Linked DNA regions of Danio rerio. The main gene of each other region encodes a partner of the protein of the gene in region 2 in a complex. Links are inferred from orthologs where the notes say so. Each region holds a gene or a part of one and is shown on either strand. Other genes may lie near its edges.

Evidence for each region. Proteins that work in one complex are often made in the same cells at the same time.
Region 1: strap (region 2) and gemin2 share a complex: the UniProt entries of both Homo sapiens proteins name them as parts of the SMN-Sm complex. The link is inferred for Danio rerio from reciprocal best matches to the Homo sapiens genes STRAP and GEMIN2.

The regions. Positions count from the first base shown.
Region 1 is NC_133192.1:14,291,942-14,296,444, forward strand, and holds the start of gemin2 (gem-associated protein 2), read left to right. Parts: upstream 1-1,904; 5' UTR 1,905-2,014; coding exon 2,015-2,133; exon of another isoform or gene 2,134-2,154; intron 2,155-3,179; coding exon 3,180-3,261; intron 3,262-3,341; coding exon 3,342-3,431; intron 3,432-4,503. UniProt on the Homo sapiens protein: The SMN complex catalyzes the assembly of small nuclear ribonucleoproteins (snRNPs), the building blocks of the spliceosome, and thereby plays an important role in the splicing of cellular pre-mRNAs.
Region 2 is NC_133179.1:17,468,706-17,473,208, reverse strand, and holds the start of strap (serine-threonine kinase receptor-associated protein), read left to right. Parts: upstream 1-1,825; 5' UTR 1,826-2,015; intron 2,016-2,169; 5' UTR 2,170-2,182; coding exon 2,183-2,294; intron 2,295-2,726; coding exon 2,727-2,862; intron 2,863-2,942; coding exon 2,943-3,024; intron 3,025-4,395; coding exon 4,396-4,468; intron 4,469-4,503. UniProt on the Homo sapiens protein: The SMN complex catalyzes the assembly of small nuclear ribonucleoproteins (snRNPs), the building blocks of the spliceosome, and thereby plays an important role in the splicing of cellular pre-mRNAs.

The DNA of each region.
Region 1 (4,503 bases), on a different chromosome or scaffold from region 2:
TAACTTCATAGAGTATCTCCTTTTTAAAATAAAAAATTAATGTAGCATGGTAAAAACATGGCCTTTTTTTACATTCAAAACCTGCTGATCTGACACAAAGTAACATAACACTAAATTCTGATTACATTATGGGTGTTTAAAGACAGAATTAGAATTGCATTCAAGATGACATATGTAACAGTCAAAAAATTATGAAATATTTCATAATATTTTACTCAGTAAAATTGTAAAATGTTTAAATCTTTATTTATTCATTTATTTTATTTTCGGCTTAGTCCCTTTATTAATCCGGAGTCGCCACAGTGGAATGAACCGCCACCTTATCCAGCACACAGTTTTATGCAGTGGATGCCCTTCCAGCCACAACCCATCTCTGGGAAACATCCACACACACTATGGACAATTTAGGCAATTCACCTGTACTACATGTCTTTGGACTGTGAGGGAAACTGAAGCACCTGGAGGAAACCCACGCGAACGCAGGGAGAACATGCAAACTCCACACAGAAACGGCAACTGATCCAGCTGAGGCTCGAACCAGCGACCTTCTTGCTGTGAGGCGACAGCACTACCTACTGCTCCACTGCGTTGCCTGTTTCAAACTTATAAGAAAAATAAATTAATTGAAGGAGAGGGTTATAGACTTTAATTTTGCCTTGTGTATGTGAAACGTCCCAAGAAAAATAATCAACTTCAAAGCATTACCGAGTGTATCATGGCCAGTTTTCAGTTTAAAAAAGAATCATGCATTCATCCAAGTTAATTATATATAATTTTATTATAAACTGAGTAAAAAATTAACCCTGAAACCAGTTTCCAAAAGTCGTCAATAAATGTACAAGCACAAAATAGATGTAGGAGACTTTCAGGTTTAAAACATTCTGATGAAATGTCTTTTTAAAATGTATTAATGAACAGATGGCAGGGATACCTGTGTAATATTTTCTTTATCTTTTTTAAATACATTTACTGTATTACAGAAAGATACATTTGGTGCACATCATTTACAATAATAATCATTAGATTATTTACAATGGTGCCAATAAAGAATGAAAAAGAAGAAAAAAGAAAGAGGAACAACCAACAGAAATCAAACAAAAAACAAAGAAATATCAATAGGCCATCTGATCTGAGGGTAGATATATAGATTTAAAAAAAATTGAAAGTGAAGAGGGCAAAATAAGAAGCAGCAATTTAGAGATTTAATTGATTATAAAGGTCGTGCAAATGGTATGCTTTGAGTACTTTCTTGTTAAGTGAATCTGGAACTGTAAGTAATTTTTAATCTCTTGTAAATGCTAGAAATGTTAGCTTGCAACTTGACATTGACAATATACATTTATGAACATAAAATCTGCATAAAGAAAAAGGTTTATTTTAAAGTAGACATTAAACTTTGTTATAAAAAACACCAAAAATGACTTTTGTAGTCACAGAAAAATGCTGTAAAGTAATATTTGGACAATTGCATGACCAAAATAAGCGAGGAGTTTCAGCGTTAATCTGACAAAAGGAGATATTTGTATCAAAGTATGATCCAAATCTTTTCTTTAAGACATTTTTGATAGGATAAATGTTATGTAATAATTTAAAAGATATTTCCTTTACCTTTTTAGTAAGGAAAAACTTGATGTATGGACCATATATTTCCCCAGTTTAAATAATCAAAAAGACCGTTTCAATGTGAGATAGCAGAAGGGGTAGAGTTTTCAAAAAACACAGCTCTTATTTGATAATTTTTCCTTTTTATTTAACCTTATTGGGGAGTAAATAAAAAATATTCTACTTGTACAATATTTCTCCACCATTTTATGTTGTTACCCTTCACATTTCTCCTAAACAACAGATGTCGCTACACATCTTTCCATCTGTAAGCGAGTGAATAAAAGAACCGTCGCGTCTATTGATCGTCATCCTCGTGTCCAATGTTTTCAAAATGGAGAGGTTGACATGCACGTAATAGTGAGCATGTTGATTTATTTTGATGGTCGTGCATAAAAAATAAGGCAAAGAGATGAAGTCAGACGCCGAGGAGTTGATGCCCAGACTCCTGCCAGTGGATTCCTGCGACACAGAGGAATATACTCTTACCGAGCCGCCTAGAAACCCTCAGGAATATCTCAGATTTGTCCAGTAAGTCTTTCGGCTATTGAGGTAAAGTTGGTTTAATATTCGCACATTCAGACATTCTCATCAATAATACAGTTTTAGAAAAGTATTATTTGCAAATTGTAAAGAAGGAGATCATATTAGCTGCCAATGACTACTAAAGTACAACATTATTCAGTCAATTAAACAGTACTTATGTTGTTAAACCCTACTGGAAAAAAAAAACAGCTTAAACCAGCCTAGGCTGGTTGGCTGGTTTTAGCTGGTTGACCAGGCTTGTTTGAGAGGGGTTATGGCCATTTGCAGGCTGGTTTCCAGTCATTTCCAGCCTGGTCTTAGCTGGGCAGGCTGGGAGATGACCAGCTAAAAACACACACACACACACACACACACACACACACACACACACACACACACACACACACACACACACTCACAGAGAGAGCGCTGTGGGGGAAATCAGAGCACCTAGAGGAAACCCACACCAACACGGGGAGAACATTAAAGCTCCACGCAGAAATGCCTTATGGCCCAGCCAGGACTCGAACCAGTGACCTTCTTGCTGTAAGGTGACAGTGGTTACCACTAAGCCACCGTGCCGCCCGTCAAGATTGTGGCTCTATGCTGGTTTCATACCTAGAACCTCATAGTTTGTTACCCAATGCTTAGCACGTTGAACTAATTGATCAAATTGGTAAAACTAGTGATCCGAAGGACAGTGGCACTAACAAAATATGATTTGGGGCTACACTTTAATGCTTTTGGCTAATAAATTACTATTACACAGAATAACTATTGTAAATATTGTTTGTAAAAAATGTTATTTTACACATTCTAATGCAACAGGAAAAACAAAACTACTTTAAAGCTGTATTAGCTTTTTCTTGTTGATGAAACTATGCTTGACTTTGACTCTTGTTCGATGAACATTATAGTAGTCAGCATTTTACAAGTGGATTGAAAACGCTTTTCGAAATTGTTCTAAGACAAGAGTGGGTGTTGTTCAATGGTTTTCGGGCAACTTTAATAAAAAGACCCTGTTTAAATATCGACTACTGTATATTTTACAGGAGGGAAGCATCTCTGTGTCCAGATGTTGTTGTGGCACAAATTGATCCAAAGAAGCTGAAGAAACAGTCAGTGAATGTGTCTGTAAGTGGGAAAAGTGAACTGAATAATCTGTTATAAATTCTGTAATGTGTAAAATAACTGTGCCATTATTTTTGCCTCAGATCACAGGTTGTCTTGCTGCACCTGAGGGTTTTTCACCCAGCTTTAAATGGCAGCAGCAACAAGTCAGCAGATTTTCAGAAGTCAGACAGGTGTTCAATATTAACCACATTAGTTTCTTTAAAGGGATAGTTCACACACAAAAAATGAATATTTACTCATTATTTATGAATGTTACTATTATTCAAGTGGTTCCAAATTTTTTCAAGTTTATTTTTTCTGTTGAGCAAATCCATTCATTCATTTTCTGCCGCTTTTCCGGGCCGGGTCGCTGGAGCAGCAGTCTTAGGAGACAACCCCAGATTTCCCTCTCCCGAGACAGTTCCTCCAGCTCCTCCGGGGGGGATCCCGAGGCGTTCCAAGGCCAGCCAAGAGACATAGTCCCTCTAGCGTGTCATGGGTCTTCCATGAGGCATCCTCCTGGTGGGACATGCCTGGAACACCTCCCTAGGTAGGCGTCCAGGAGTCATCCCAAACAGATGCCTGAACCACCTCAGCTGAGTTCTCTCGATGTGGAGGAGCAGCGGCTCTACTCAGAGCTCCTCCCGGGTGACAGAGCTCCTAACCCTATCCATAAGAGTGCGCCCTGCCACCCTTCGAAGGAAACTCATTTCGGCCACTTGTAACCGTGATCTTGTCCTTTCTGTCATGACCCAAAGCTCATGACCATAGGTGAGAGTAGGAACGTAGATTGACCGGTAAATCGAAAGCTTTGCCTTTCGGCTCAGCTCCTGTTGAGCACAAAAGAAGATATTATAAAGAATGTTAGAAACCTGACTTCCATAGTAAAAAAAAACAAATATTATGGAAGTCAATGGTTACTGCTTTCCAACATTTTTCAGAATAGATTCTTTTGTGTTTAGCAGATGAAAAAAAAAACAGGTTTTACAGGTTTTCAGCTTTGTTCAAAATAAAGGATGAGTAAATGATGACAACTTTCATTTAATATTTCATTCTGTCATCATTTACTCACCCTTTATTTTGAAGAAAGCTGAAAACCTGTAACTATTGACTTAGTAGTAGTATTTAGAATTTGTTGTTACTACAGTATTTCTTTTTCCTAATATGGAAGTCAGTGGTTACAGGTTTTCAACACTCTTCAAAATGCCTCTCAACAGAGGAAAGAAATTCATAAAGGTTGATAACCACTTGAGGGGGAGTAAA
Region 2 (4,503 bases):
TAAGTATCCAGTTAATTTAAGTGTTTCTGAATAAAAATATTTTATATAAGGTGGTATGTGGCTTGAGAATCTGTGTGGGAAGCATTTATTAATATGTTATTACAAAAATGTCATTACGCCAAACATTTTCATTTCTAAGTGAACTAACCCTTCTAATCACCCATTAGGCAGACGATCATAACCGACCCACAGCTGTGTAAATATAAAATATAAACATAAGTATTTTATTAGGTAACTTCAGCGATGGCGTTTGAACCGGTTCATAATAGTGAATCATATGAACGAACCGATTCGCTAGAATGATCGGGACCTCTCACACCCCCGTGTGCTAGGAAACAGTCGCGGTGCATGCTGGTACAACATGACTCACACGCTGATTTGCATCTGAAGCTTTCAGCGTTACTGTGTTACTAAGATAATGCTCAAATGAGAGAGGCGTCCTGTGTTTGCATTTCTGTTTTCCCCTCATGAAAATGTGTGCTTACAGTAGATCTTCATCTCTAATGGCCTTTAGCAAGATTTTCAGAGATGCAATTATGTAAGATTTGCAAAAAGCTGTGATTAATGAGTCATAAGCACTGCCTTTAATTTGGATGACGTTTAAATAGACATTGCAATGAGAACATAAAACATCTATCTATCTGTCTGTCTATCTATCTATCTATCTATCTGTCTGTCTGTCTGTCCGTCCGTCCGTCCGTCCATCCATCCATCCATCTATCATCTATCTGTCTGTCTATCTATCTATCTATCTATCTATCTATCTATCTATCTATCTATCTATCTATCTATCTGTCTGTCTGTCTGTCTGTCTGTCTGTCTCTCTGTCTATCTATCTATCTATCTATCTATCTATCTATCTATCTATCTATCTATATCTGTCTGTCTGTCTGTCTATCTATCTATCTATCTATCTATCTATCTATCTATCTATCTATCTATCTATCTATCTATCTATCTATCTATCTATCTATATCTGTCTGTCTGTCTGTCTGTCTGTCTGTCTGTCTGTCTGTCTGTCTGTCTATCTATCTATCTATCTATCTATCTATCTATCTATCTATCTATCTATCTACGTGCCTGCCTGCCTGCACATCCCTTCAGAATATTCAAAGAACTCCGTGAGTTTTTCCAGAAATTGCTCTAAGTCATTTAAAACAGGTGTGTCCCATGACAGTGAGGTTATCATGACATCAGAGCACACGTAGACATACCAGTGAGGCTTGCACGCAAAATTATCATTGAGATGTCTGAATGTAAAGCATTTTTACCGCAACCAGCCCATGTGTAATATTTATCCTGACCGCTCTATTCAAATAGTAATTATATCCTGTGCAGATGTTACTTACCTACAGGGGGCGCTTCGTGGCTCAGAAAGTTTACCTTATATATATTTTAAATAGCGTAAAGCTTATTGATTTATGGCACTGATTATTATTATTATTGTTATTATTATTAGTATTATTATTATTATTAACATGTTATTTCCTCACATTTGCCATAACGTTAGTTATATAACCATCCGTTAACAACACTGATAAACGAAGTGTGTCAAAGTAGTAACTTTCCTCGTTTGTAGTTCGTACTGAGAAAGCGTCTTCATATTAACGCTAGAATCTTTCCTATCCCAGATATTACATATTAGATAATGGAATTTAAACATAATACAGCACATGTTAGCACTTTATTTGTACATACACGTCCATTGGTAGAAAAACGGGATGTACGCTTTCTCAACCGACGCTACGACAGGTCACGTGATCCAGTTCTGTCCAATCCCCGTGGCGTCGCGGGCCGGAAATGATGGCCGGGCTTTCACACTAGTGCTTCCATTATGTTCCTGTAGCGTTAGCGAGGGCTCGAGTTTAGCTTACACACACACACACTCACACACACACACCTCGTGTAGCTGGTGGCACAGCACTGTAGCTGGGAGTGCAGCTCCGCAATCATCCCCGATACGCAATCTGGCCGCAAAGTACTAGTGTGTGACGTTGATTTGCTAGCTTTGCAAGGTAATGATTGTTTTTCTTTGACTAGCCAAGCTTGTGTTAGCCAGCACACCTGTTCTGATTTTTCATATGTACATCTCTTATTTGATACTTGAATTTTAAGAAATACGTAGCTATGTTTCAGTACAATTGCTTATGTGTCCTGTCATCTTTTTAGGTCCTCAGTAAGTATGGCCATGAGACAGACCCCTCTCACCTGCTCTGGTCACACCAGACCTGTTGTGGATCTGGCGTTCAGTGGAATAACTCCTTATGGATATTTCCTCATTAGTGCTTGTAAAGGTTTGTATGTACTTGGACTTAAAACCAACTCTTCACAGTAAACACAACCTCATTGCAGGGCATTGTTGGTTTTATAGTTGCACATTCATGCAGTGACCACTTGTGACATGCTCCCTATATTGTTCACCATGGTACTTTGAATATTCGGCTTGAAATCACATTTAATTATGACTTCAAAACAACATTATCACGTTACTTGATTGTGAACAATGTTGTGCTTTGATAGTCATTGGCTGACAATATGATTTTGCTATTTATAACTTGCTAATAATGTTTTTCTGAAATAAAATTAAGGAGAAAGTTTAAATATAAAACCATTTTTACCTACATTTGCAGGGCAGTGTGCTTAAAAAGTAAGCATTTCTTAAAATAAGTGTGTGCATATGTCATGTATCTGTCAAATAAGTTTGTTTTTGTGTTCAAATTTTGCAGATGGCAAACCTATGTTGCGCCAGGGTGACACAGGGGACTGGATTGGGACGTTCTTGGGTCACAAGGGTGCTGTCTGGGGTGCCACCTTGAATACAGAAGCTACAAAAGCAGCAACGGCCGCAGCAGATTTTACAGCGTAAGTGTTAAAGGAATAAAAGATGAACTGTTATTGTTGAAACATGAGTTTACTTTCTATATTTCTTATGAATCTGACAGGAAGGTATGGGATGCTGTCACTGGAGACGAGGTCCTCACCCTGGCGCACAAGCACATTGTGAAGTCTGTAAACTTTACACAGGTATTCCATGCTGATGTATAGAACGAGTTCTGCAAAATTGTGTAAGCCAAGAGTTATGGCAGATGAAATCTTGACTTTGTAATCTTGGAATATGATATACATTTCAAATTATATTTATGCACAACGTGGGTTTTTTAAATTATTATAATTTTATATTAGTTTTACTGTATTTTTGAATAAGTAAATGCAACTTTGGCATAACAGGCTAAATGTATTTATTTTAAACTACTTGTATGAACAAATGAATAAGTCATTAATTTATTCTAGTATCTAATTAAAACATTTTGCAACAATTTTAGTAAGATATAATACTGATCTATATTGAGATATTCAGACTATTTATGCAACACTTGGTTTATGAAATGATCTTACTTAAAATAGTTAACCTGTGGTCATTCAAAACCACGGGTTAACAGAATGCTGGCTCAATTTGCTTCATGATTCTCATAATTTACTTCGGCAATCAGTAAAGTTTCATAACTAAATGTTTCAGTTAGCTTCATTTTCAAATGTGAACCCTGACAGGAGAAACAGCATGTCACTGGGACTTTCCTTATTAAATTTAAACCACAATAGATAAAGTAATAAATAAAATGAAATAAAGTTTGGAACAATAGTAACCCATGTGTTCAATCACTCAGTACATTTACAAGGATACCAATGCAATTTTAATACGATTAAGACAATACTCTGATTAAGACTCTACCATATAAACAGAAATTTTTCATTAATTTAATCAGATTAAGGTCATAATCAAACTCTACAGAAATGTAATTAAGACGTGGCATATGCCGGTTTTAGTCACATCATTGACACTGTAAAGACATGTAAACGCAATCAAACTATTACCGTTGTGTAGGGTTTTTGCCACATTTTGCAATGGGACAGTCTATATACACACGGCTGTTTGACACTATTCTCTGCACTATCAAGTCAGTAGGACCACAGACATCTACAGTGTACATTGCGAAATGCTGAGTTTTTTTTTTAAAAAACCAATATCCAAAATCCAAAATCTCGTTTGTCATGGGGGCATGCATGAATTATTCCTGAATGAAAGTGCCAAACTGCAGTTAAAGTCAACAAAATAAAAATAAAACTCCCGAAATTACATGAAACTCCAGAGCAAATGTGGATAGCACGATGACGCAACAACGTTAATCAAACTATGTGCTATAGCATGTAAAAAGGGATCATGAAAGCAATATTCAAAAAGTAACTCATGTAAACACCTTAAACATTTTATTGTCTTATTCAGATCAAGGCAAATCATTTGATCACCGATTACTACATGTAAATGAAGTCACTTTCTGTAAACTTGCCAGAGTAATTTCATTTAGGAGTTTTTACCAGCATGTGTTGAACCAACAGGACAGTAACTATCTCCTGACTGGAGGAAATGATAAAGTACTGCGCATCTATGACCTCAGCAAACCTGAAGCAGGTATTGAAAGTTAAATAATAGTTTATTTGCTTTGA